Sus scrofa: one gene and its partners. The protein of the gene in region 7 interacts with the protein of the main gene of each other region in a pairwise test. Links are inferred from orthologs where the notes say so. Each region holds a gene or a part of one and is shown on either strand. Other genes may lie near its edges.

Region 1 (3,997 bases), on a different chromosome or scaffold from region 7:
GTCTCTTTCCCTGTCCCAGCACAAAGCCTAAAATTTATTATGCCATTGGTGAATGTGAGCCCACGACTGAACAGCGAAAAACACCTCAAGGGGGTGGGGGGAGAAGCGAGGGACTTACCGCTCTCGACCACAAGAGGGCGCGCGCTGGGTTCCCACGAGAGAGCCGGTTGGCTGAGGAAGGGCGGGCTCTCCGCCTCCAGCACCAATCATCTCCCAGGACCTTTCTCTAAGAACGCTCAGAGCGAAAAAGGTTGCTTTCTTAGGTCCAAAGAGAAGAGAATAAAAAAATAAAAGTGTTTTGGGAGTTTCCCTCGTGGCTCAGCGGAAACGAATCTTACTAGCATCCATGAGGATGCAGGTTCGATCCCTGGCCTCGTTCAGTGGGTTAAGGGTCCGGCGTTGCCATGAGCTGTGGTGTAGGTCGCAGACGCGGCTCGGATCCCGAGTTGCTGTGGCTCTGGCGTAGGCCGGCAGCTACAGCTCCGATTTGACCCCTAGCCTGGGAATCTCCATGTGCCGCTAGTGCGGCCCTAAAAAGACAAAAAAAAAAAAAAAAAGTTTTTTGAAAACTTCATTGTAGCACTGATGGTAAGGGTTGCCTCTGCCGCCTCCAGGTGTTAATTAGGAGGTTGACTGACTTTTTTAACTGGAAAAGCAACATGCCGCCTTTTCATGAGCTGCTTGGATCTTTGTGATACGAGGGACTGACGTGGGCTCGCATCCAGATCCCGAAGTTAGCAAACATTCAATCTGAGTCACTGTCATCTGAATTGGGAACCCACTAGACCCCCTAAGGGAGAGCAGATGGGAATCAAGATAGGTGAATCGGGACACTTTGGGAGGAAATGGGGTGCGCTGACAGCTACCGGAACAATCTCAGAGACGAGACGTGAAGGAGTCTGAGGAGGGAGCGGGGAAAGGAAGGAGTAGAATAGGTATGGGAATAACGAGCCTCTGGGAAGGGAGGGGTTAACCCCTATGGGCGGGGAGGAGGAAGGGCGGGGTGACACCCGGGAGGCGGGCTCTCCGCCCGGCCTCCCGAAAACAACAGGCCGCTCCGGGCAAACACGGAGTTAAGGGGGCGGGCCCAGGGGGCAGCCACGTGCCGGGGCGAGAGGCAATTGGCTCTCCGGAAGTTGTTTGTGAGCGGCCATTGGCGACGTCGGGGCGCCGCGACGAGCCGATTGGCCGGACTCGGAGCCCCGCCAGGGCGGTGGTGGGGAGGAGGCGGCCTGGGCGGCGCGGGACCCGAGTGGGCCAAGCCGAGCGCCAACGCTGCCCGCGCGGGGTGCGGAGCCCGAGCCCGAGCCCGAGCCCGAGGCGCGGCCGCCGCTGCCATGCGCTGGGTCCGCGCGCTACTGAAGAATGCGTCCCTGGCAGGGGCGCCCAAGTACATCGAGCACTTCAGCAAGTTCTCCCCGTCCCCGTTGTCCATGAAGCAGTTTCTGGACTTCGGTACGAGGGGGCGGGAGGCGGCTGGCCACCGGGACCTGCGGGGGAGGGGGGGCTGGGGGGGAGGAAGGCGTCCTGGCCGTGAAGGGTTAACACGGAGGTTGAGAGAGACCGAGTGACGGGAAGGGTTGGCTTGCAGGGGTCCAGGCAGGAGAGGGTTAACGGAGAGGCCGGAGGCAGCCGGCCTTAAAAGGGTTAGGGCACCCCGGCTGGAGAGACTAGGCAGTGGGAAGTGGGGGCGCTGAGGAGGGATCGGAGGTATCTTCTCGGGCTTTGTGAGGGGTCTTGGTGAGGAAGGGGCAGTGAGGCGGTGATGTTAGGGCTGGAAGGCACGAAAGGGTTCCTGGGGTTGTTCTGGCGATTCTAAGAGTGAGGGTCAGAGAAGAAATGGGCCGGGATGCTGGTGGCTGTAAGGAGGCAGGGCTGGGAGGCACAGCCATCTGGAAGGAGACCTGTGCAGGGCAGACGTGGAGGGGTCAGTTGGGGGCAGGGGCTCTCTCAGATGAGTCAACAGGAGGGACACCCTGACCAGTACACCTCCGCCCACTGAAGGAGCTGCCCTCCAGCTGTCCCAGTGGGCAAGGACACTTGAAGATCAAATCTGCTGTGGCCTGGCCATCTGTCTCCAGCTGGGCAGGGGTCTGGGGCGCTGTGAGGTGCAGTCGGGTGCCTTGTACCCACCCTTGGCTGCCCCTGGGTTCTTGTGCCAGGGTGGCCTAACACCCCCCACCACCACCACCATTCTGGGGGTGGCTCTGGAGCCAGAGCAAGGCTGTGCCAACGTGGTGACTGAAACAGGCATTGTGTGGTCCCTGTCTGTTCCCACCGTGTTTCCATGGTGCCAGCTGGGGATTAGAAGGGGGGGTGCCCCTTCTCTCAAGAGTTGAGGAGAGACAGTGCCTGGCTCAGGTTACAGCTGCGTCACTGATGGCAGGCGGGGGAAGGTGGCAGTCAGGACACGGGGCACCTGTTCCCCAAGACCTGTCTGCCTGAGCTCCTCCCGTGTAGGAAAGCCTCCAGAGCCCCCTCTCAACCCCCTGCAGCTGCCCAGCCCGGCCTGGACCCCAGTTACAGAACTGTCACAGCTGGGAAGGGCTCAGGGTAGAGTCTGGTTCCCTCGGGGTACAGCGGGGGAAGCAGACCTTCAGAAGGATGGGGTACAGCAGGGGAAGCAGACCTTCAGAAGCATGGTGACGTGCCTTGGGTGACAGAGTTGGAAGCAGAAGCTGGACTTAGAACCCAGGTCTCCTGACTCTAGGCCATGGCCCCATCCAGTCCTCCACCACCTCTTCATCTTGAAGCCAGACCAAAGTATTGGGCCCTGGTTCTCAACCTTGTCCACCTCACAGGTGGGTGGGCATTAATGTAGGGGCAGCCCTACAATGGGCATAAAGAGGTGACACCAGGACCCTGCAGCTGCTGTGGTCCCAGCATAGCTCCCCTTAGCCAGGGGCGGGAGGGTGCTCATCTCAAGGTAGGGATAGATTTTCCAGGCTCCTCTGCCCACTTGGATCCACCCCCCTCAAAGTGGGTTGTGTGTCTGCTGGGAGGGAAAGAAAGAGAAGAAGCTGGGATGGAGGTCACAGTGAGCCCAGATGGCCCTGTCCCCCGGGGTTGGGTTCAGCTGCAGGTGGAGAGAGCATGCAGCCTCCCTAAGGATGAGGCTGGGTGGTGTGGCGGTCACTGCAGAGGTCAGGAGGGGCTCCTTGTCCTGTGCCTTGGCTTCTTCTGAACCCTCAGGAAATGAAGGCTTTAGAGATCTGACCCCCAAGAAACCCCCTGGCTCCTGTGCATGGTTCATGACTCTATGGGGCTCACCCTTCCCTCTCCCACCAGGATCCAGCAATGCCTGTGAGAAAACCTCGTTCACCTTCCTCAGGCAGGAGCTGCCAGTGCGCCTGGCCAACATCATGAAAGAGATCAACCTGCTTCCCGACCGGGTGCTGAGCACACCCTCGGTGCAGCTGGTGCAGAGCTGGTGAGACCCCTGGCTAGGTCCCTGCACCTCCCGCTCCATTGCCAGATGCCCTCTGCCCACCGCAGCCTTGAGAGAGATGGGGACCGAGGGGAGGCACCAGGGCTCCAAGAGGGCAGGAGTTCCCTAGGCCAGAGCAGGGACTAGGACCAAGCTCCTAGCCTCCATGTCTAGGGAACAGCCCTCCACCTTCCGCCCTACAGTCTCTGGAAGCATGGGATCCACGTAGGAAATGATCCTTTTCACAGCCCCAAACCCCAAAGCAGGCTAATGTCAGCATTTGGCCCCAACCCGGTTCTGAAAACATAGCACCTGTTGGGTAATACCCATCTGGGGCACCTTGGTGGGAAACAGAAATAGGGAGAAGCAGATCTTCAAATTATGTAATCCGCACAAGTCAGCCTATTTGGGAGGATGGAAAACATGCAAATAGACACAGGGATGGCACCATACCAACCCCAGAGAGCTTCGGACGGGCAAAGACCAAAGTTTATTGCAGAGCAGCCATAGCAGAGAGAAATCCTCAGTAAAGTTCAGGCGAAACCTCTGTCCAGGAGTTCCCGTTGTGGC
Region 2 (3,933 bases), on a different chromosome or scaffold from region 7:
CCCTTGGGTGACCCTGAGCAAACCATTCAATCTCGCCGGTTCTGATTTTCCCATGAGCATGCCCAAGATCTGACATTCTGTGATGCTGGGCACTTGAAGTACAAACTGTAAAATGCTGTCCAAGGGTAACACACTCTTCTATGCTGAGAGGAGCAGGGAAGCAGGCGGTGGGTACTGACAGGTGGTCTCCCTGATCCTAGGTGAACCTGCCGCTGCTCACCCTGAGCCGGCCGCTGCTATTGGGCATCGCCCGCAATGAGACCAGTGCCGGCCGTGCCAGTGCCGAGTTCTACGTCCAGTGAGTGAGCTCTGGGGGACAGGGTCCTGGGTCCTGGGGTAGGTGGGTGGTTAAGGGGCATGGCTGAGGCAGCTGAGGGACCCTCCAGGAGCTAAGCACTCACCAGGCCACTCTCATGTCCCTGTCCAGGTGCAGCCTGTCTTCTGAGCAGGTGAGGAAGCACTACATGAGTGGGGGACCTGAGGCCCACGAATCCACGGGAATTATCTTTGTGGAGACACAGGTTCGAAGTGGCAAAGTGTGTCTTCTTTGGACAAAGAGCTGGGCTCAGGGCTTACAGAAGCCTGGTGATGCATGTCTGTCTCCCAGGGCTGGGTCAGAGAGGGCTCCTGAATCTCTCAGGGCTTCCCTCCGGAGCCACAAGGCCCCACTAGGATTCCCCCAGCCCAAGGAGAGAGGCCACTAACCTGTTCAGCCCCCTCGACATGTCTCCTTAGAGGGCTCCGAGGCTCAGAATCTGTGGGCACAGCTCCCGCAAGAAACCTGAGGTCCGGATGTCTGGGTCTCACTGTCTCCCCACAGAAGGTGCGGAGGTTGCAGGAGACTGAAATGTGGTCCCAGCTCTGCCCATCGGCCAAAGGCGCCATCTTCCTCTACAGTCGGGTCCAGGGAAACTCCACCTGAGTTGCCCTGAGTCCCCAGCCCTGTCACCACCGCTCGGAAGACAATAAAGGACTTTATTCTTGGATTCCACTGCCATCTGCTGTTTCCGTGGGACAGGGAGGGGCTGCTGGGAGAGCCCTAGGTGGCCGACAGAGACAAGCGAAGGGCCTGGGGTGGGGGGTGGGGTGGTAAGGCCCAGCCTCGGTTTACCCCTCTGAAGCTGAGCGCCTTGCTCCCTTGCCAGGCTCTGATGAGGTTCCAGGCCGACTATGGTGTGGAAACTGCTTTGTGAAACGCGTCTCGCTGCAGAGCGGAGTAACAGGCATATCCGAGGGAGGGACAAGGCAACTGCGCCGGGCCTAGGGTCCAGGGTCGAGGGTCAGGGTCGGTCGGCAGGCTTCCCAAGTGGGTGCTGGCGCCCTCCTGCCAAGACCACAGGAGCCCGCCTCTATGGGTGGGTCCGAGGCATCAAAAGCCAGTCAGCGGGAGGGGGCGGGCCTTCGCCGCACGTCCTCACCTTCAGACGAGTGGGCGTGGCCTTAGCATCTAAGCCAATGAGAGTGAGGAGGCCGGGCCTGAATGGGAGCAGGAAATGGCGACGGCCGCGGAGTCCGTGAGTGCAGCAGGGGCGGGGTTTGGTGTGGCTCCTCCTGCACCCCCCCCAGGCTCCCAGGTGGGAAGGGGTCGCTGCATCCGGGGCCGGTTATCCAGACCCTGAGACAAGACTGGAGAAAGGCCCCGGACGCCCTGGTCAGAGGCGGGGACAGGCGGGTCTGGTCTAGAGCAAGGAGGTTCCATTTCCCTCTGCGTCCCCTGGGCCGCTTCAGTTTTCCTTCGCGTCTAAACGGGATCGGGCCCCTTCCCTCTGCCCACCACCCCCTCCTCAGTGGTTGAAGTCTGGTCCCATCCCACTCCTCTTTGTGGCCTCCTTTCACCAGCTGCCCGCCTGCCGCCATGCTGCCCCTGCGCCTGTGCCGGCTGTGGCCCCGCAACCCTCCCACCCGGTCCTTCGCTGCGGCCGCCGGGCAGCGGTGAGTTGGGCGCCTGGGTCATTCAGAAGGTTTCTGCTGCGGGCTTGCCCAGTTCTAGACCCTACACTAGGTTCTGGGATAGTGGTGATCTCTTACTCTGGGTCAGGCGCCTTACAGCCTTGTCTCCGGTCACCCTCACCTTCATTGCTGAGGACATAGGATCAGAGATTAAGGGATGACCCCCAAGGCCATAGAGTTAAGTGGCAGATTTGGAATTTGATCCCGAGCCAAACCCTATGTGCTGTCCACCACGCTGGTGGTTGTCAAGCACCCCTGTACAAAACCCACGGGGGTGGGATTGGGGATGGGGGGAGCTCACAAAAATGAAGATTCCTGGGCCCTGCTCTGGAGATTCTGATTGGCGGGAATGAAGGAGGACTCAGCAAACCACTTTTTTCTTCTTTCTTTTTAGGGCCACAGCTGCGGCATAGGGAGGTTCTTCCTAGACTAGGGGTCAAATAAATGGGAGCTACAGCACATGGGGCCTACACCACAGCCACAGCAACACCAGATCCGAGCCGCATCTGCGACCTGTTCCTCAGCTTGCAGCAATGCCGGATCCTTGACCCACTGAGCAAGGCCAGGGATTGAACCTGCATCCTCACGTACAATACTTGGGTTCTTAATCAGCTGAGCCACAACAGGAACTCCAAGAATCTATTTTTTAAACATGCTTTTCAGGGGTTTCTGATGCAAAGGGTCCGAAGACTACACTTTGAGACATTCTGATGTGGTCCATACCTGGAACACTCAAAGAGGGAGGGATGATTTAGAGATCTCCCTTGGCCCCTGCCTCAGCCCCCTGGCACCTGGATGCTGAGTTGAAGGGCGTGGCCCACAGGGGCTGGGAGGGGCAGGAAAGGGGTATCCTGTGTTTTCCTCATCCCCTGCATGTTTGGGCCTCTTTCCACAGGTCTGGCCCCAGTAACTACTATGAACTGTTGGGGGTGCATCCTGGTGCCAGTGCTGAAGAAGTTAAACGAGCTTTCTTCTCCAAGTCCAAAGAGGTACCAGTGGTCTTAAATGGAGAGGGGGGAGAACGTGTGAGCCACATGGGGGAGGCTCCAAATTCTCAGGAATGGAGCTGAGAGGCTCCTTCTGGCTGTGCATATTCCCTCAGGATTTCACAGGGAATGGGAGGTGCCCCAGGGGCAGGGATCTGGCCAGGGGGGAAGAAAGGTTGGGAGCAGGAGCCAAGGGTCCTGTCTGATGGTCTGGGCTTGGTTCTCTTGACCCGCCTGTTCTTGGGACCAGGGTATATGGTGAGAGCCAGGCAGCAGGTGTGGAGGGTGTCAACAGGGGAGGGGGCAGGAGTCTTTGCTTCTAGACTCTACTCTTCTGGAGGCACAGGCAGCCCTGAGAGTGAAGGTCACTGCCCAGGCAGGGCCTTAGGAATAACATGAGCCCAGGTGGGTGGACATGATCAGGATAGGTCCTGGGAGGGGGCATGGAAAGGGAGATGAGGGGAGTCCTACCCCACCCCAGCTGCACCCTGACCGGGACCCCGGGAACCCAGCCCTGCACAGCCGCTTTGTGGAGCTGAGTGAAGCGTACCAAGTGCTCAGCCGTGAGGAGAGCCGCCGTAGCTATGACCACCAGCTTCGTTCAGCGACTTCCCCAAAGTCTCCAGGAACCGCAGCCTATCCCAGGTCTGCTCATCGGGCGCACAGGTACAGTAGTCCTGCCCCCAGCTTGCCACGGCCAAGTCTCACCAGGAGACTCTTCCCTACATTCTCCCTTCTCCCTCCCAACAGCTCCTGGGAGGACCCCAGTGCACGATACTGGGCCCAGTTTCCTGGTGTCAGGCCTCAGGGACCAGAGTCAAGGCGGCAGCAGCAGAAACACAACCAGCGAACGCTGGGGTACTGCCTCTTGATCATGCTGGCAGGCATGTGCCTGCACTATGTTGCCTTCAGGTGCGCTTCCCCCTGGGCTGATGGGCAGAGGGCAGGAGGGTGGGCAAAGCCCAGTGTCAGGCATCCACCCACACTGTCCCTGTGG
Region 3 (2,523 bases), on a different chromosome or scaffold from region 7:
GCCTCTGCCACCTTCTGTCCTCGACCGCTCACAGTGGGGGCTGTGGGCGCTGCCAGCCCAGGGTCGGCGTGTGGACACCGCACAGCCCCGTGCTCTGACCTCACCCCCCTTTGGTGGACGTGTGCGGCCAGCCTGCAGGCCGCCTGACTGCTGCTCGGAGGGCCCAACACAGCCGCCGCCAGCTGCGGGCGGGGGCCGGGAAAGACGGCTCAGCGGGGCCAGACGGCACGCGGTGCGTCCGACGGTCGGTCAGGACTTTCTGCTTACAACCCCCCTCGTCTGCTTTCCCGAGCCATGGCCTCCCTCTGGGCGTCAAAGACCGCTGGGGTGAGAGCCCCACGCAGGAGGATTCTGACGCCCACGCTATAAAACCGCCGGCAGTTTACTTCTTTTTTGGCTGTGCCTGCGTCGTGTGACGTTCCGGGGCCAGGGATTGAACCAGCACCACAACAGAGACAACACCAGAACCTTAACCCGCTGAGCCACCAGGGAGCTCCGGGAATCTACTTCGAAATCCAAGGACAGGAGGGCCTGCCTGTTCGTCCCAATAAAAACCCTCCTCTCTCCTGACTCCTGTCTCGGCCCAGGACTGCTGGGGGCGAGAGCGGACGCTCCCCCACCCCTCTTCCCAGCCGTCCAGGAAAGACCCCCCGTGGGCTGCCACATGGGGCCCTGGCATCCGCAGGCTCTGCCCACAGCTGGCGAGGGGAGCATCTCAAGTCCAAGCCGTGCTCTCCCATCCGGTCTCCCCAGGATCTAAAGTCACATCTCAATCCCTGTGGACAGGGACAGGAACAAAAGCCCCTTCTCTCGAGCCTCTAAATCGGCAACCAGACGATGAACGGCCCAGCAGCCGCCCCATAAGGCACGCGGGTCCCCACAGGGCGAAGCGCAGAGCCCGGCCGAAGAGCAGTAGGCCCAGCCAGCAGCGGCTGCCCTTCCCAGGCTGGAGCCGAGCTTGGCCCCTAAGACAGCGAGACGATGAGAAACTTCCCTCTGGACCAAAGTAAACCAGCTACTTGTGAATGCAGAGCTGAACCCAGAGGAGGAGACTCCCAGAGGAACAAGAACTGCAGGCCCACAGAGGCTGTGCTGGGGGTGGGGGCCCCGCCCGGGCGTTATGGGGCGGACTGGGGCCTGAGGTCACACACAGCACGCAGGCCCTGGGGGCACGCAGAGCCTGACGCCGGGCCCCCCGAGAGGGGTCTGCACCCCTGGAGGAGGGCAGGGATGAGCCACAGGAAAACTGGCCCCTGGCCGGAGGTCCGGCTCAGCCCCACACAGGTGGGCTCTGACTCGCCCCCAGAGGGTGGCCTGCGGGGTGGGGGGTGGGGGCGCCCATGGAAACACGGCCCCCAGACGCCGCCCACGCTGGGATGCCGTGGCCGCGGAATCAAGAGGATGGACGAATCAGAGCCCTGCCAGCTGAAGCGGGTGGGCCTCCGATGGAAAACAACAGACCCTGCTCGAAGGAGGAAGCCATCCGAGAGGAAACTGAAATTCAAACCCCAGAGAAGAGGAGGGCGGGACGACGAGGCGGCAGAGGAGAGGTGGCGCTGAGCGGGCTCGCTCGGGCCCGCTGGCGGGGCACAGCCAGCGGCACGCGGACCTCGGGCCCTCGACTCGAGCCTGACCAGCCTCCCCGCCCAGCCGCTCGGCGCTGGGACACTCACTCGGAAGACAGACGGGAGCCTCGGAGCTTCCAGAAGGTGCCAGGCCTGTGGACTCCTGGTTCAGAGGAAGCGCAGCCCTCCACAGAAAGCGGGAGCCGCCTGCAGCCGCCGGCCCGTCTGCCCCTCTCCCCCGACCCCCGCGTGGCCTGCCGTTCTGCAGGGCCGGGCCGAGCCGCAGCCTCCGGGGAGAAGCAGCCGGGCCAGGGCCGTGGGCACCTACCCGAGCGTCGGCACGAAACTCCCTTTTCCTCCGGATCTTCTTGAAGATTTCCGTCAGCTCGTCCCGGGCCTCCTCGTCCCCCTCCTCCGCGCTGGGCCCGGCGCTGGGCCCCGCAGCGGCCGCCTCTCCCGGCGAGGCCGGGCCCGGCAGCGGCGTGTCTATGGTGGGGTCTTCCGCATGCTCGATGAGCCACTCCATGGCCTGAGGCACCGACATGCTGCGAGAGAAGACGGCCCTGCGGCACCGGCCGGCGCTGGGCACTGGGCTCTGCGCCCGCGGCGGGAGCCGCCCACCCTGGGGGAGAATCCCGGCCTGGGCTGCCTGCCAGGGAGGCGCGTCTGGGTCCGAAGCACACGGCCTGCCGACTGTGTCCTGGGGACAGGTGACCGGCTCGAGTGCTGAACAGAAATGGAGGGCACGGGCCTAAAGGCGGGGCCCGCAGGGGACCCCTGGGGAGCCGGCCGCACACGCGTCGGCCGCCACCAGACCTGGGCAAGAGCCCGGCAACACGTGCAGACGGAGCGACACACGTTCGCAGCAAGCGACTCGACCTCCGGCTGCCCCCCAACGCTGGGAGACGCCCCATCGGGTTATTCCTGGACAGGCGCCCGGGGAAGGGTCCAAACCCTC
Region 4 (4,216 bases), on a different chromosome or scaffold from region 7:
CTGTTGTGGTTTGAGATTTTAATACCTTAGTCTCAACTGTTGATAGAACAATGAGATAAAAATAAACCAACAGCAAACCAGTAAAGACGTAAGAAGATCTCAAACACACTATTAACCACCTTGACCTAATTGACGTTTTGGACCCTGCACCCAGTTTCAGAACACGCCTTCTTTTCACCAAGATAGACCTCCTGCTGGGCCATCCGGCAGGTCTCCCTACATTTAACAGGACTGCAGCCATACCAGGAAAACAAAAGACTTAGACTAAGTATGTTTCAGAAATAAACAGCAGAGGAAGGATAACAATGACTCTTTCGCAATTAAAGCACTTCTAAGTAATCCGTGGGTAAAAGAAGAAACCAGGAGTTCCTGCTGTGGCACACAGGGTTAAAGATCCAGCATTGCCTCAGCTGTGGCCCAGGTGGCATTGCAGCCCAGATGCATTCCCAAGCCTGGGAACTTCCATATGTCTCGGGTGCGGCCAAAAAAAAAGAAGAAGAAAACGCAGAGGGAAATAGAAAATATCTTGAATTAAGAGAAAATGAAAACCACAGTGTGTCAAAGTTTGACTGGCACCTAAAGCGGTGCCAAAGGAGGTGTGTCTCTGAAACCCTTTGAAAAGGGATGTTCGGCATTCAGTGCTTCCAGCCCTCTGGTTAGGACCGATCTTTCTCTTGCCCTGTGCTCGGTATATTTGCCTCGATAGCAGTAGCAACTGTTGGACGCACCCCTCTGCTCACCTATCGGTCCCTTCCTTTCTAAACCTTAAGAGCCCTTTAAGGACAAGTGCTGCTGTTGCTGGCACTGTTTTGTCTCTCATTTCTAGTACAATGCATGACACTTTGTGGGGTCTCTGTGAGCTCTGCACGGAAGCTCGCGAGTGGAGCGGATGCGCCCGAGCGCCGGGCGAGGGTTCACAGACTGAGCATCCGCAGCCCCACCTTAGAGCTGAGAAAGCAGCCGCCCGGCCGGGGTCGGTGGAGCCAGCGACCAACCCACGTTCCCGTTGGTCCTCAGACATTTTCCTTCCAGCCCTGAGGTGCTGACAGAAACCTCACCGGGGGTGGTGAGACCCGTCTTCCAGCCGGAGGGCAGGATTTATTCCCGAGTCAAACGGGAAGCCTCAACCGGCTGTCAAAAGCATTGAGTCGTCTGTGGGCTCTGCAGGTTGGACCAGGGGGCCCTTCCACAAAGGCCCTGGGAGGACAGGGCCGACGGCTCTCCTGCCGGGGGGCCCCCCGCCTTTCCCAGAGCCCACTCAGTCTGCAGAAAGTGCTGGAACTTGAGGCCTCAGGCGCGGCCCCACGGGGAGGGGGCGGGGGCCCTGCACCACGAGAGCCTCTCGTTTCTCTATTTTCTACCTCGGTTTCAGTTCTTAACTGGCGTTTGTTTCCCCTTTGTCTCTGGTTCATCTTCCTTTTCCTGTTTGGCTCTAAGCAGAGCCTCAGCGTCACGTCGCTGCCTCCCCGGGGTCCGTGGCCCTCTGGTCAGCGGGCCCAGTGGGATCCACGACCCACCGCCTCGCTGCTCCGTGCCGCAGCCACGCAGCCATGGCCACCGTGTGAGTATGGGGACCAGGGGACAGGGGCGTCCGGAGGAGACCTGGAGCCGTGATAGCAGAGAGCCGAAGGCCCTGGAAACCCTCCCAGACCCGCAGGTTGCACGCATGGGGAGACCAGCTGTCACACCGCAGGTCGTGCGGAGCCCGCGCGCGCTCATCTGCGGGTCTGGCCGCCACACCGGCCCGGGTCCCTCGATGGCTGTTGTCTTTAGGCACTTTGTGTGCGTTTGGAAAGCGCCGCCTCAGAAGTCCAGGTGGCGGAGGGGGCTCTGAACCATGTGAGGGGGTTGGCATTCGGCTCAGAGGTGCTCCGATGGGTCCTGGGTTCTCCTCTGGGAATGGCCTGAAGACACTCGAGCGGTTTTCTCTCAATACTGGGCAGGAGGGAAGAAGTGGGGTACGCTTTGTAGTGGAAACTTCATGGGCCGTAACAGCAGGACCCCAAACGTCTGCTTTAGACACCTGTGGCTGACTTTGGGCCACCGGTCACTTAGACTGTTGTGGTTTCACGTGCATGTGGGCACCAGCCTGTTTGCGTCCTGCACATGTAACTTCTAAAAGTGAGATTGCGTTTTAGACATGCCTCTCCCTGCCCTGCAGCTCCATGAAAGACAATGGGCCACAGAGCAGGCTTTCATCCCCTGGAATCGGGGGCATTTGCCTGGTCCACTCCTTGCAGCTTTGCGTCTTAGCACAGAATTGTCATCCTGCTCCTTAAAGTTACTTCCCAGTTCCCACACTGCAGTTTGACCCATTCCCTTATCTGATGCTTCCAGCCTTGTTGGGTGGGTCAGCTCAGGGAGGGGATACTGGTGTCCTGTGGAGGAGGAGGCCTGGCCTCTGACGGGCCATGGCGCTTGCTCAGGGTTGCTTAGGAGGAGAAGCTTCCAGGACATGGGCCAGGCTCTCTGGGAGTGCCTTGCAATGCCTTGTGAAAGTGGATGGTGCGGGGAGTAGGGCTGGTGCCATGCTCCTGGTCAGCGGGGGAGCTCTGGGGAGGGCAGTGCTCCCGCCTCAGAGCGCAGCCTTGGCCAGGTGCTGGAGTCACTGCCTCCAGGCCCAGCGCTCATAGAGCCAGGGCAGGTGCTGTGTTTACAGTTGGCTCTGTTCCTGCTCCCTTGCGGCCATGTTTCCCATCATTTTAGTCATTTTCCTTGAGCCTTAGAAGGTTTGTGGGTGGAGCTGTGGAAAACAAGACTTTCCATTTCAAAGGCCTGTTACCTTCCAAAGTGGGCAGGAACCAGTCATCTTCAGCTGAAAGTTACACCATGAAAAGCACAGTGTATCCTGTCAGCTGCCATTGCAGAAAATACCGTCAGAAGTAAGTGAGGAGGAAGCAAAGCAGGTGTCAAAAATCCTTGAATTAAAAGTGTGGAAATCTTGGAGAGCCCATTGTGGCTCAGTGGTTGGCGACCCCGACTCGCATCCATGAGGACACGGGTTCGATCCCTGGCCTCGCTCAGTGGGTTAAGGATCTGGTGTTGCCGTGATCTGTGGTATAGGTTGCATACGCAGCTTGGATCCCACGTTGCTGTGGCTCTGGAGTAGGCGGTCGGCTACAGCTCCGATTCGACCCCTGGCCTGGGAACCTCCGTATGCCACGGGTACGGCCCTAAAAAGACAAGAAAGACAAAAAAGAAAAAAGAAAAGGTATAGAAATCCTAGGCGTTTCCATATTGAAAGCAGCTGAGAGCCCATCCAGCGTGGACTGTGTAGGTTAGTGGTGCCTTAGGCATCGCACCCGCCACTTCAACCAAATTTACTCTCTTTTATCTTTTTTAAGCAGTCCTCAATATTTCTTTGAGGAAAAAAATTGTATTTTGCTGGTGATAATTTTGAAATCTGAAAATGATTTTTTTTAGTCCAGCTCTGGGGCACCCAGGTCGGGCCGTCGAGGCAGCGTTTGTCTTGAGCGAGTTGGCCCCGTCCAGCCACTGCGAAGCCGCCCTGCACAGCCGCTGTAAGGCCCGCAGCGTTTGCTTGGGCACATGCTTGCCCGGCTGAGCTGGAACAGCTGGATTCCTCAGTCGCCGTGGCGCCTGAGCCAGCGGGGTCCCCAAAGGCCTCAGGGTCCCCAAAGGCCTCGGCGCCCTGAGAGCACGTCAGCCCATCCTGGCCAGCCATCCGCCAGGAACTGCGTTCTGAGCGCCAGCGCGTACGGTGCACCCTCTCCGTGTGCTTGAAGGAGCGAGTGTTGCGTTTACTGTTCCCATTTCCCAGAGGAAGAAGCCCAGGCAGAGGCGGGAGGGAGACCCAGGAGGGAGCGCGGGTCCCCCAACGCAGACGCCCTTACACGGCGCTGGATAGGCCTCTGCTCGGAGCCGCAGCGAGCGGGAAGACGGCACTCCTGGAAACAGAGGGCCGCGGGTCCTGAGTCCCACGCAGTATAGACCATGGCGAGTGTAGACATGAAGAGCACCCCGAGTCGAGAAGGGGGGCTGTCAGGAAAGACTTCGGGGGATGTGGGACCTCAGGTGCACTCCGAAGGACAGGGGTGAGTTTAAGAGGAACCAAGAGGGACGAGACAGGCGTCCTGAAATTGTCCTGGGGCAGGGCGCGCCTTCTGCGAGTTGGAACAGAGACGCGAAAAGACAAAAAGACAACTAGACGAGCCGAGATGGGACCCGGCCGGTGAGTTCAGAGGTCAGGAGGCAG
Region 5 (2,992 bases), on a different chromosome or scaffold from region 7:
GTATGGTACCAACTCTACTATTCAAACCTGGACTGGATTGCATGGCCAACATACAGTAATACACAGCATTACCAAAATAAAAATTATAAATAATGAAAGATGATATTCTAATTAAAAACACCAAAGAAACTGGCTGCCAAATATTAAAATATATAAGGAACTTAAGCAAGCTGGTACAGAAGATCACCACACCAAAACCAAGACTCTTTCCACACAAAACAAATAACTAATTAGAATATGTAATAGAAAATAACACCATTCAAAATAGCATTGATATCCCAAATACACCTAAAAAGAGAACTAACAAACTTGATCTTTATGGAAGCAAATAGAAAAAAAAAAATTACTGATGCACTAAGGTAAAAGAAGACTCAAATAGAACAATATTATGTTTATTTATGGTGAGTAGAATATTGTACAGATGTCAATTCTTCTTAAATTATTTACGGGCTTATGCCTTACCTGATAGGTTTCGCACTGAATCAGCAAGGAAGTAACCCAGCACCTACAAGGCATCAAGGTAAGACACTGAGTGAGGACTGAGTGAAGACTGAGTGAGGAACCCCCCAAATTAAGGGGCCACAAAGGGGCCCCTACTGTCAGTCCCATTAGACTCAGGTGCCCCCCTACTTCCTACCTGGGATTCTGAGTGAAATGAGAACCTTGGTCAGAGGCCAGCTGACTTATCTCAGGAGAGGAAGAAGTCCCAGGCCCTGTCAGGAGTCACGAAAAACTCCTTCCAGAGTTCTGCATGATTCCTCAGTCTCCCAGAACCGAGATAGAACTCCCCATAACCCCACCCCTGCTATAACTCCTGCTGGGAGGATGGGGTGGGCGTGGCAAGAAGTGCTCACCCTGATTTCTGCCACACCAGCCATGGAAACTTAGGCCTAGGTCTGAGGAGTGTGGTCCCATATCAGCAGAGGGAGGAGTTCCAGGATTGGACTGATGTCAAGGTGAGTAATCTTTGTTTGAACTGAAGGGACAGACTCCTCCCAGCACTGAGGTGTCCTCGCAAAGTCCCGCCATATTCTGACATGTTCCATCCCCACCCTTAACCCCAAGGGGCTCAAACAGGGCTGTTAGGCCCAATGCCCCTCCCCAACTCTCAGTGGGAGAATTTGTGGTGTGAGAAGCCCTGGTCTGAAGGGGCAGCCTCAAGTCAAGAGCAGGAGGAGTTAAAAGACTGGTCAGGAGCCAAGTTTAGTATACTGGGTTAGAACTGAGATCACAAGCCTCTGCAGATCAGAGGAGGTCCACAGAGTCTCACCACCCTTGTTTTGTGGTTTCCTAAAACAGTACCCCTAAGAAAATCAGCAAAGGCAGCTTTTCTTGGCAGCCAAGGTGGAAGAATCTCCCTGCTGAGGCTGTGCACACCATTTCTTTCTCTGTCTTCTAGGGCGACCTCTCCAAAAACCTAATTGCTTGAACAACTGTGCCTACTGTCCCTGACCAAAGTCATCATGCCTCGAGGACAGAAGAGTAAGCTCCGAGCCCGTGAGAAACGCCGCCAGGCCCGTGCTGAGACCCAGGGTCTGGAAGATGCTCAGGCTACTGCCGCAGCAGCAGGAGAGTCCCTGTCCCTGGTCCATGCTCTCACTGAGGACAGACCTCAGAATTTATCTGCTGCTGAGACACCTAGCACTCCTGAGGCGCCACAGGGAACCACCGATGCTAGTGCAGCTGTTTCATGCACCAATTCGGATGAAGGTACCAGCAGCCAAAAGGAGGAAAGCTCAAAATCCTCCAGGGGCACTGAGGGCTCACGCAGAGATCCTTTAAACAAGAAGGTGGTTTTGTTGGTACAGTTCCTGTTGCAAAAGTATCAAAAAAAAGAGCCAATTACGAAGGCAGACATGCTGAAGTTTGTTATTAAAAAGTACAAATATCATTTCAATGAGATCCTCAAGAGAGCCTCTGAGCACATGGAGCTGGCCTTTGGTGTTGATTTGAAGGAAGTGGATCCTACCAGGCACTGCTATGCCCTTGTCAGCAAACTAGACCTCACCTTTGATGGAACGATGAATGAAGAAGAGAACATGCCCAAGACTGGCCTTCTAATGATTGTACTGGGTGTGATCTTCATGAATGGCAAATGTGCCCCTGAAGAGGAGATCTGGGAAGTGCTGAATATGATGGGTGTATATGCTGAGAGGAAGCACTTCCTCTATGGGGATCCCAAGAAGGTTATCACTGAAGATTTGGTGCAGCTAAAGTACCTGGAGTACCGTCAGGTTCCTGACAGTGATCCTCCTCGATATGAGTTCCTATGGGGCCCAAGGGCACATGCTGAAACCAGCAAGATGAAAGTCCTGGAGTTTTTAGCCAAGGTTCATGATACTGTGCCCAGTGCATTCCCATCCTGGTACGAAGAGGCTCTGAGAGATGAGGAAGAAAGAGCCCAAGCCAGAGCTGCAGCCAGGGCTCGACTTGCGGCCATGGCCAGTGTGCGCTCCAGGGCCACAGCCAGCAACCTCTCCCATGCTAAGTGAAGTCCGAGGACAGTTCTTCACTTTTGGTTGAAAAGGTGTGGCAATGTTCTAATGGTGGAGGGCTAGGGTGGGACTTGAGAAGTATATCATCGTTGTATTCCTGTTATATATTGCTAACTTGGAATTTTACCTTTCTTTTTCTTTCTTTAGGTTGTATTTCGAATGATGAAATCTAAGAAATATTGTTTTCCTTGTGGAAAAAGAGCAGTAACATTTTAAGTGGGGGATGACCAGTGGGTCTGGAAAGAACACAGCGTATATCATCTTTGTGTTTCTGTTCTCTATGGTAAACTTATAGTTTAATCTTTTGCCTTCCTTTTCTTGTCCCTTCTTTTTTCTTTCCTCCCTCCCTCCTTCTCTCCCTTCCTTCCTGTCACTTTTTCTTTCCTTTGGTTATATTTTAAATGTTGTTTCTTTAATAGAAGGTAGAAATAATTGCAGAATCTAAATTTATTAATTATTTCAGTTACATATTTATTAGATTTAATTTAATAGATTTA
Region 6 (4,012 bases), on a different chromosome or scaffold from region 7:
ATCACTTCTGTTAAAGTCAGTCCATCTATTCCCGGCTTCCTTTTTTTTTTGGCTGCACCGTCAGCACATGGAAATTCTCGGGCCAGGGATCGAATCCCAGCGACAGCGTCATAGTTGCCACAGCGTCAGAATTTAAACCCACTGCGCCGGCTGAGGGACCGAACCCTCGCTGCCACAGAGACAAAGCCAGATCCTTAACCCGCTGTATCACAGCCGGAACTCCCCCGCCTCTTCCAAGTGGTCAAGAGTCCCAGTTCCCAGAATCCCCAGCGTTGCCTGCAAAATAATAGGGGAGAACTTTCTGGGGAGAAGTTCCGTTGAGTTTCATTGAGTACTCAAAAAGATCCAAGATGTGCTAAAGTTGAAGAATCAGAGGAACGACGTTGGAGCGTCAGCTGCATCAACACAGGCGTCATCAGACGGTATTCCTACGGGAGGACACAGCATTCGCCAGGGTCTGGAGGCGTGGGAGCTAGCGAGGCCGAGCTAGCCTGCTTCTCCCTAGGAACCACTAATCGCCTGATTCTCACCTTCAAAGTGCACTGGGTCCCCGCGCAAGGAGCTGATTTGTGAGCTCACGGCCAAGACGCATTCTGGGACTTGTAGTTTTTTTTAAGAGCCGAGGAACTCAGGCGTGACCATCACCACTGGGTCCACAAGGTGGCGCACGTTGGCGAGTACTTTGGGTCTACTCTTTGCTTCAGAAGACTAGCCGACCTACGACAATCACAAGTAAGCGCTTGTGATTCTTTGATGGACAGATACATCGTCCAATTAGCGTCAAGATTCGAGGTTAAATCCCACCCTCTTGATTTGTTGGCTGACGGAACGGAGTGATATTTATATAAACCAATGGGAAATTTTTAGGGAACTAGGTAGAGTCGAGTGACAGATCTGTGTTTAAGAATCGATCCTTAATATCACTGGCCAATTTTGTTGACTGGCCGGTCTCCCTGCCAATAAAACTGGCGGATGGGCCTGCCATCCGGGAACTCCCCCAATGGGCGGGGCTAACATGCCTTTTTCCGAAACACCGCCTCCCGGCCTGAACAACTCGCTTCACGCTGCTATTGGCTGTTCTACAATAGCGACAGTTCTCGCGTCCAATGAGACTGAGAGAAAGTCCCCGGGGGGGAAGGTTCATTCAGCTGTAGGTCCGTGCCTCCCTTTCACTGGCTTGGGTGCACGAGCGACAGCGCGGCTGACCAACCGGGGGTGGGGCGAGGGCTTTGGGCGCAGCCCCAGGGCCCCGGGCGGGAGGTCGCTTGGGTCGGGTGTCGCCTGAGAACCGGATGAGGCGGCGACCGTGAGGCCGAGCCGGGAGCGGGCGTCGCGCCGAGGCCCGGGCGGACGGGGAGCAACGGCCGTGGACGCCGCGGGGCCGCGTCGTTGAAGGCAGGGGCGGGTGGGGAGCGCGGGGCGCTCGGGCCGGGGCCACCGGCGCCATGGGCAACCGCGGGATGGAAGAACTGATCCCGCTGGTCAACAAGCTGCAGGATGCCTTCAGCTCCATCGGCCAGAGCTGCCACCTGGACCTGCCGCAGATTGCCGTGGTGGGCGGCCAGAGCGCCGGCAAGAGCTCAGTGCTCGAGAACTTCGTGGGCCGGTGAGCGAGCGTGGCGGCGACGGCGGGCGGGCGGCGGCCTAGGGCGCGGAGGGCGGACCGGGAATGGCGCGCCCTGCGCCGCCGGCGTAACTGCGGCGCTTGCGTGCCCGCGACGGGGACGGGGACAGGGAGGCGGGCCCTGTGGGACGCCCTGGGCGGAGGGCTCCTTGCAGGAGGTGGGGAGCCGGCCCAGGCTAAAGGGGTATCTCATGGGCGAGGGCCAGAAGGTGCGGTGGATTTCTGCCGATTCTCTGGTCCTCAGCTATAGTGGGTGAATTCTACCATATGGTTGCCTGTGTGTCAGGGGCAGGTTCCCCTTCCCTGTCTGTCCGAAACCTGTCACTTAGATATCCATTGGGCCGACCCCTGCGGTCTGACTGGCTGTTCATTTATCTGGAGCAGTTCCTGCCGTCTCGTTGGCTGTCTCTCTGTCCTGGATAGGCTTCTGCCACCACCACCATTTGGCTGTCCATCTGTCCAGTACCGCAGAGCAGCCCCCTGCTGCCTGGCCAGCTATCTAGGATGACCTGTCCTGTCCGGCTGCCCATCCGTGCACTTCACAGACTTTAACACTTATCTCTTCCTCTCTTGGGTTACCTCCAGCTGGCCTCTGCTGTCTGACTGGCTGGCTGACCCTTGGGGACCCTGTTGCCTGGCTCTCCTGGGCTGACTCTAAAGCTTAGTGCCTGGTGAACGCTGGCTCCTCTTTTCCAAGTGGAACCTTTGTCTGTCTGTCCTACTATCTGACCTTCTCCTAATCTGCCTGTTTGTGCCATAGCGGACTGACTGTCTGACCCCACCACTGTGGCAGGGGGTGGTGGAGGATGCAGAGAGAAAGGGAGCTGAAGGGTGAGACTGGAACTCCTCTCAATTGGAAGTAGAACCCTCGGGGGAATCTTTCTCCAGGACTCTTTCCTGGTCCATGTCAGGGTACCTCCATGGCCCTAGAACATAGGGGCCAGCCCCCCAAGCTAAAGCCTGCAAATGTGGGGGGCCCTTCCTGGATCCTGGGAAGGAACTTCTTACCTGATCAGGCAAGATCTGGAATACAGCCTTTTTTGGATAGTTCTGAGAAGTCTCAGTTTGGCTCTCTGTCCTGTGGACATATTCCATTCTGTGGGCTGTTTCCTAGGATTCAGGAAGCTAATGGATGTAATTAGGTTCTTCTCTCTCCCTTCCCCCACTTCTTGCCCTTCTGCCTCCCAGATGGGTGGCCACTTCTCTATTTGTCTAGGAAGGACTCCATTTGTGACTGGGGCTGCCAAATGATAATATCATAGTCATTATTATCGTGATTATTGTTGTTATCAGTGTTAAGAGGTAACGTTCATCCTACAGGCCCCAAGCCAAGTTCTTTCTTGTTCCACTCAGAAGACAGCCTGTTTACCCAAGACCACCAGGCAGGAGGAGCTCAGTGGAGCCCAGCTTTGCTCCTGCCTTCCCAGAGGCCTGGGGGTTTTGCTCCCAGCAGCGTGAATTTCCTCCTTTGCTGCTTTGTCTCTGGCGAACTGCCTTCTGTCTACTGTGGCGGAAAGGCGTGGACTTGGGATCAACCAGGCCTGGGCTGAGCCTTGGGCTGGGCTATGGGCCCCCTGCTTGGCCATCTTCCTGCCTGGCCTGCCCAGGCTTCCAGTGGGCATCCGCAAAGCTCTGTCCATTTCATTTGCCTTGTGATCTTGCACAGATTGTTTTACCTCTCTGAGCCTCAGCTGCCCCTCCTAAAAATGGGGTGATGGACCCTCAACAAGACAGTTGCGAGGATGCAGTTACATGATGTGTTGAAAGTGCTTACTTAGCATGGTGCCTGGCACACAGTAGGTCTGTATGAATGGAGTTATTATTCACCAGGCTGATTCCTTTCATATTGACAACAAAAGCTAGTTAGAATTAAAGTGCTCTAGGAGCTCCCACTCTGACGCAGTGGAATTGGTGGCATCTTAGGAGCAATGGGACAAGGGTTCAATCCCCCACCTGGCACAGTGTGTTAAAGGCTCTGGCATAGCTGCAGCTGCAGCTTAGGTCTCCACTGCAGCTCGGATCTAATCCCTGGCCTGGGAGCTCCATATGCTGCGGGGCAGCCAAAATGAAAAAAAAAAAAAAAGAAAGTGCTCTAAAGTTAGACACTGGGGAGTTCCTGTTGTGGCGCAGCGGAAACGAATCCGACTAGTAACCATGAGATTGTGGGTTTGATCCCTGGCCTCACTCACTGGGTTAAGGATCTGGTGCGTTGCCATGAGCTGTGGTGTAGGTCACAGACACGACTCGGATCCTGTGTTGCTGTGGCTGTGGTGTAGGCCAGCAGCTGTAACTCTGACTCCACTCATAGCCTGGAAACCTCCATATGCCATAGGTGCGGCCCTTAAAGAAAAAATTAATAAGTTACACACTGGACTTCATTTGAACATT
Region 7 (4,266 bases):
GAAAAGAATGGGAGCTACTTTACTTACTTTTTGCAATTTTGGAATTTGTATCAAGTGACTGTGTTATTCATGCAAAAAAAAATCAGGTTCCGTTTAAAATAAGTCAATCATACATTTCCTTACAATAAAACAGTGAAACAAAATCTACTTCATCAAGCTAGCTTAAGAAGGAAGTTCCCATCGTGGCGCAGCAGCAGAAAGTTGCTGTGGTGGCGCATCGGAAATGAATCCGACTAGGAACCATAAGGTTGCGGGCCTTGCTCAGTGGGTTAAGGATCTAGAGTTGCCATGAGCTGTGGTATAGTTCCCAGAGGTGGCTCGGATCCTGCATTGCTGTGGTTTAGGCTCCCAGCTGTAGCTCTGATTGGACCCCTAGCGTGGGAACTTCCATGTGCTGCAGGTGCAGCCCCAAAAAGCAAAATAAATAAAAAATTTTTAAAATTTAGGCATTCCTGTCGTGGCTCAGTGGTTAATGAATTCAATGAGGAACCATGAGGTTTCGGGTTCGATCCCTGGCCTCATTCAGTGGGTTAAGGATCTGGTGTTGCTGTGGCTGTGGTTGTAGGTCGGCGGCAACAGCTCTGATTAGACCCCTAGCCTGAGAACCTCCATATGCTGCAGGAGCGGCCCTAGAAAAGACAAAAAGACAAATAATAATAATTATAAATTTTAAAACAATTTTTTATTTTAAAAATTTAAAAAAGGAAACCTCTTTACACCCGTATTTTGAAGAAGATAAGCAAATTCAGGTTCTGTCAAATCAGCATAAGAAGCAGAAGGCATATTTTTAGGCTGACCAAGTGATTGCACGAGCAGACAGGGACAGCAGTAGAACCTCCTCCCTACACAGAGCCCCACTAGTGCTTCCCCTGTTTATACAAGGTCCCAACCACGTGTTAACTTCATGACATCCACCTGCAGGAGATGCACTACCATGAAAGTCTGCGATGGGTTATGGTTATAAATTACTTGCTGCAGAGGTAAAGCAAACTGTTAAAAAATATTTTTTTCCCCTCTGAGTATTCAAAAGACCTTTTCTAGAAGAAAAAAATTATTTCTAAATTTTATTCTAACAGATAAGCCAAAATCACTCCTCGACTCTCATTTTCTAACGAAATCTCTGACACAGCAAGGATCCTATCAGAAACATAAAGAAGAAAAGAAGAAAACATTGCTAAGAGTGCATCAGCCTTAACAGAGTGAGCGCCTTAAAGGGGCTGCTTCTTGAAAGCCGTCCTCATGAAATGCCTTCCGTCCACCTTCGGCTCAGACACGAAGTGGCCCGAGGTGAAAGGCTGGCCTGCCGCGGAGCACGCCCCGGCCTCGGCTGAACCACTGGGCACACGGGACTCCAGGGGAAGGGCTTGGGTGCTCTCAGAAGGTGCTCTATGAAATGAAATGTTCGTTTTGGGGTTTTTTTTGCTATTTCTCTGGCCGCTCCCGCAGCATATGGAGGTTCCCAGGCTAGGGGTTCAATCGGAGCTGTAGCCACCGGCCTACACCAGAGCCACAGCAACGCGGGATCCGAACCGCGTCTGCAACCTACACCACAGCTCACGGCAACGCTGGATCGTTAACCCACTGAGCAAGGGCAGGCACCGAACCCGCAACCTCATGGTTCCTAGTCGGGTTCGTTAACCACTGCGCCACGACGGGAGCTCCTGAAATGTTCTTTTTCTGTCTCAAAAATTCTCCCTGGCACAAGCAAGAGACCCCTACTTCCCAACAGCACCGGATGTCAGCGACAGGCGACGCCTGCGGGGTCCCCGGACAGCCACGTTCCCGCACCGCATTCGCCCCCGGCAGTGAACCTCTCCCTCAGCAACACGTCCTTCTCGTTCCCACTGCACACAGGCACTGCACACAGTCAACTCGACCCAATACTCCAGGCAAATTTTAGTTTCTCCCTCGTGACTCATCACCACCTAAACAGCGCACCACGAACTTGGCCACCACAACCCGCTCAAGAGCCTGCAGACCAACGGGAGCGCAGACAAGCTCGGCTCTGGCCGACGCCGAACGCGCTGCGGCTCCGCCCGCGACCCCGCACTCGGGGGGATGCCCGGCGGCAGCGGGAACAGGCTGCTCCAGGGCCTCGGAAAGGACTCGCCATTGGGCCGCGCGCGCCGCCGCCCCCGCCCCGAGGCATGACGTCACCGCTCCCCCGCGGCGCTCCGGCTCGGGTCCCGCTCCTCGCGGCCGGCGGGGCAGGGACCGGAGCCGGCCTCGCTCCGCCAAGCGCTGCTCCCAACACGGCCCCGGCTCCGTCCCTAACCTCGCGGCCGGGACGCCCCGGTGCCTCCGGGGGGGGCCGGCGAGGCTCCGCGCCCTGCGGGGGGCCGAGACCCACGCAGGGCCGGGGAGGGGCTCGGGGTCGCCCCGTCGCCGCGGGCCGGGGTCTGCAGGGGGCCCGCACTCACGGTCGGTGCAGCGGCTCCTCGGCCACTGCCGGGCCGGGCGGCGGCGGCGGCGGGGGCGGGGGCGGCGGCGGCTGAGGCGGCGGCTGCGTCTGCGGTGGCGGCTGAGGAGGCTGAGGCGGCGGTGGCGGCGGCTGCTGTTGCTGCTGCTGCTGCTGCTGCTGCTGCTGCTGCTGCTGCTGCTGCTGGAAGGACTTGAGAGACTCGAAAGCTTTCATCAGCTTTTCCAGGGTCGCCATGGCGGCCTCTCGCCCCGCGGGGACAGCCCCCGAAGCCCTCGGGCCGCCTCGGGGCTCCGCTCAGCAGCGCGGCAATGAATGGGACTCGGGGCCGCAGGCGGGAGCGGAACCGAGGCGCCCGGCCATCTTGGGTCCGTCCCGGCAGCCCCCGCGGCCCTGCGTCCCCCGACGCTCCGCCGGCGGGGCGGGGCCGGACCGGCGGGATTGACAACCAAAGACGGCGGCCTCCGCCAATGACCGGACGAGGCTCCGGCCCGCCCCCCGTGCCCACCGCCTGGCTTCCTAGAGCCCCTGGGAGAGGGGGCGGGGCGCGACGGGGAGGGCGTGAGCGTCACGGCACGTCCGGGAAGGAGCCCCGCCCCCGGGAGGGAGCCCCGCCCGCGGGAAGGATTCTGGGGGATGGCCGGGAGGGTCAGCCCTGGGTGTGGAGCGGGGACCCCCGCGGGGCCGCTTGCCCATCCAGCGGCCGTGGAGGAGGGAAGGTCCTTGGGACAGCCCTGCAGAGGAGGAAGGGGGAAGTGGAGCTAGAAGACCCTCCGGGCGGGAGGCCAGGTGTGACCCCTCGGAGAGGAGCTGGGCCCTGGAAGGAGAGTCAGTAGCCCAAGGGGGAGCTGAAGGCTTCGGGGTAAAAAAAACCTGCCTGGTCAAGGCCCTGCTCCCCAGAGAGGCTGTGGCTGGTGCAGCGAGAAGCCGCTTTGACCCCGGAGATGCCCCCACAGGAGACTGCCCAGCCCACGGCTGTCCACTCCCAGGGCGGAGGCCGACCGGTGTGCAAAGGTCCGGTCTAGGGCTCCAGAGCCTCATCACCTGGAGGGGAGACAGTGGGCAAGCCAGGGGCAGCACGGAGCACACGGCCTCAGGAAAGCCCTCTGGGGCAAGCAGTAGGAAGCCTCCAGAAGTCTTCACCTGATTTCAGAGCCTGTTGTCCCAAAGCAGTCAGGTGAACAGAAACCCAGCATCCCCACAGGAAGCGTTGTCCCCAAGGGGACAGCAATGGGGGCCTCCCTTCAAGGGAAGGATCTCAGAGAAACGTGCTGCCAGCCTTGAGGTCCCTGTTCCCTGGTGTTAATAAAGGCCCTTGTTCACTGGCGAGGCTGCATGCCAGCCTTCATGCAGCACAGGCCACAGTGGCTGAACTCCAGGCTGTCAGGTACTGTGATTGGCAGACTTCTCAGATGGCCCAGTGACCCCCTCCTGCTGCTCACTGCCTTGAAGAAAGAGCCCCCTCCCTTGAGTGTGGGCTGTCACTGGTGGTTCGCTTGCGATTAAGTAAAATTTATATTTTAGGGTGGGGCCCAAAAATGGAAACATAAAGTTCTCTGTCATTTGGCCTCCTCCATCGCCCCCTCACGTGGAGGGTGTGTCTGCCTTACCCCGGGGCTGAAGATGGGCACGCCCGCTCGACTGTCACACTGGCATTCTCTCCCAGCTCTCCAGGGATCGTAATGACTCACTGCTCTCCTGGTACCTGTTTACCTGGGCTTTGTATCTTTGGTGACCTCTATGCAGAAGGTCTGGGTGGCATCGTGATGTGTGATCCTTAGTCTCAGAAATGTGCATGATCATGCCTTGGACTCCTCACAGGTGGATCAGCCCTCCGAGCTTCCGAG

The links.
Region 1: the proteins of HTT (region 7) and PDK2 interact in binary tests that used the Homo sapiens proteins (3 or more experiments, as listed by UniProt). The link is inferred for Sus scrofa from reciprocal best matches to the Homo sapiens genes HTT and PDK2.
Region 2: the proteins of HTT (region 7) and DNAJC4 interact in binary tests that used the Homo sapiens proteins (3 or more experiments, as listed by UniProt). The link is inferred for Sus scrofa from reciprocal best matches to the Homo sapiens genes HTT and DNAJC4.
Region 3: the proteins of HTT (region 7) and UBAC1 interact in binary tests that used the Homo sapiens proteins (3 or more experiments, as listed by UniProt). The link is inferred for Sus scrofa from reciprocal best matches to the Homo sapiens genes HTT and UBAC1.
Region 4: the proteins of HTT (region 7) and EVL interact in binary tests that used the Homo sapiens proteins (3 or more experiments, as listed by UniProt). The link is inferred for Sus scrofa from reciprocal best matches to the Homo sapiens genes HTT and EVL.
Region 5: the proteins of HTT (region 7) and melanoma-associated antigen B18-like interact in binary tests that used the Homo sapiens proteins (3 or more experiments, as listed by UniProt). The link is inferred for Sus scrofa from reciprocal best matches to the Homo sapiens genes HTT and MAGEB18.
Region 6: the proteins of HTT (region 7) and DNM2 interact in binary tests that used the Homo sapiens proteins (3 or more experiments, as listed by UniProt). The link is inferred for Sus scrofa from reciprocal best matches to the Homo sapiens genes HTT and DNM2.

Annotation. Positions count from the first base shown.
Region 1 is NC_010454.4:26,273,365-26,277,361, forward strand, and holds the start of PDK2 (pyruvate dehydrogenase kinase, isozyme 2), read left to right. Parts: upstream 1-1,197; 5' UTR 1,198-1,337; coding exon 1,338-1,455; intron 1,456-1,625; exon of another isoform or gene 1,626-2,713; coding exon of another isoform or gene 2,714-2,801; intron 2,802-3,288; coding exon 3,289-3,430; intron 3,431-3,997. UniProt on the Homo sapiens protein: Kinase that plays a key role in the regulation of glucose and fatty acid metabolism and homeostasis via phosphorylation of the pyruvate dehydrogenase subunits PDHA1 and PDHA2.
Region 2 is NC_010444.4:7,878,109-7,882,041, reverse strand, and holds the start of DNAJC4 (dnaJ homolog subfamily C member 4), read left to right. Parts: upstream 1-1,133; 5' UTR 1,134-1,170; coding exon 1,171-1,514; intron 1,515-1,543; exon of another isoform or gene 1,544-1,651; intron 1,652-1,839; coding exon 1,840-1,932; intron 1,933-2,845; coding exon 2,846-2,939; intron 2,940-3,417; coding exon 3,418-3,602; intron 3,603-3,686; coding exon 3,687-3,848; intron 3,849-3,933. Other genes in the region: NUDT22 (nucleoside diphosphate-linked moiety X motif 22), read left to right, coding at 201-298, 428-704.
Region 3 is NW_018084833.1:1,667,334-1,669,856, reverse strand, and holds part of UBAC1 (ubiquitin-associated domain-containing protein 1), read right to left. Parts: intron 2,111-2,523; coding exon 1,894-2,110; intron 1-1,893.
Region 4 is NC_010449.5:120,986,835-120,991,050, forward strand, and holds the start of EVL (ena/VASP-like protein), read left to right. Parts: upstream 1-1,416; 5' UTR 1,417-1,550; coding exon 1,551-1,561; intron 1,562-4,216. UniProt on the Homo sapiens protein: Ena/VASP proteins are actin-associated proteins involved in a range of processes dependent on cytoskeleton remodeling and cell polarity such as axon guidance and lamellipodial and filopodial dynamics in migrating cells.
Region 5 is NC_010461.5:22,081,549-22,084,540, forward strand, and holds melanoma-associated antigen B18-like, read left to right. Parts: upstream 1-1,368; 5' UTR 1,369-1,463; coding exon 1,464-2,492; downstream 2,493-2,992. UniProt on the Homo sapiens protein: May enhance ubiquitin ligase activity of RING-type zinc finger-containing E3 ubiquitin-protein ligases. Proposed to act through recruitment and/or stabilization of the Ubl-conjugating enzyme (E2) at the E3:substrate complex.
Region 6 is NC_010444.4:69,472,800-69,476,811, forward strand, and holds the start of DNM2 (dynamin-2), read left to right. Parts: upstream 1-1,212; 5' UTR 1,213-1,445; coding exon 1,446-1,606; intron 1,607-4,012. UniProt on the Homo sapiens protein: Catalyzes the hydrolysis of GTP and utilizes this energy to mediate vesicle scission at plasma membrane during endocytosis and filament remodeling at many actin structures during organization of the actin cytoskeleton.
Region 7 is NC_010450.4:1,808,302-1,812,567, reverse strand, and holds the start of HTT (huntingtin), read right to left. Parts: upstream 2,801-4,266; 5' UTR 2,657-2,800; coding exon 2,421-2,656; intron 1-2,420.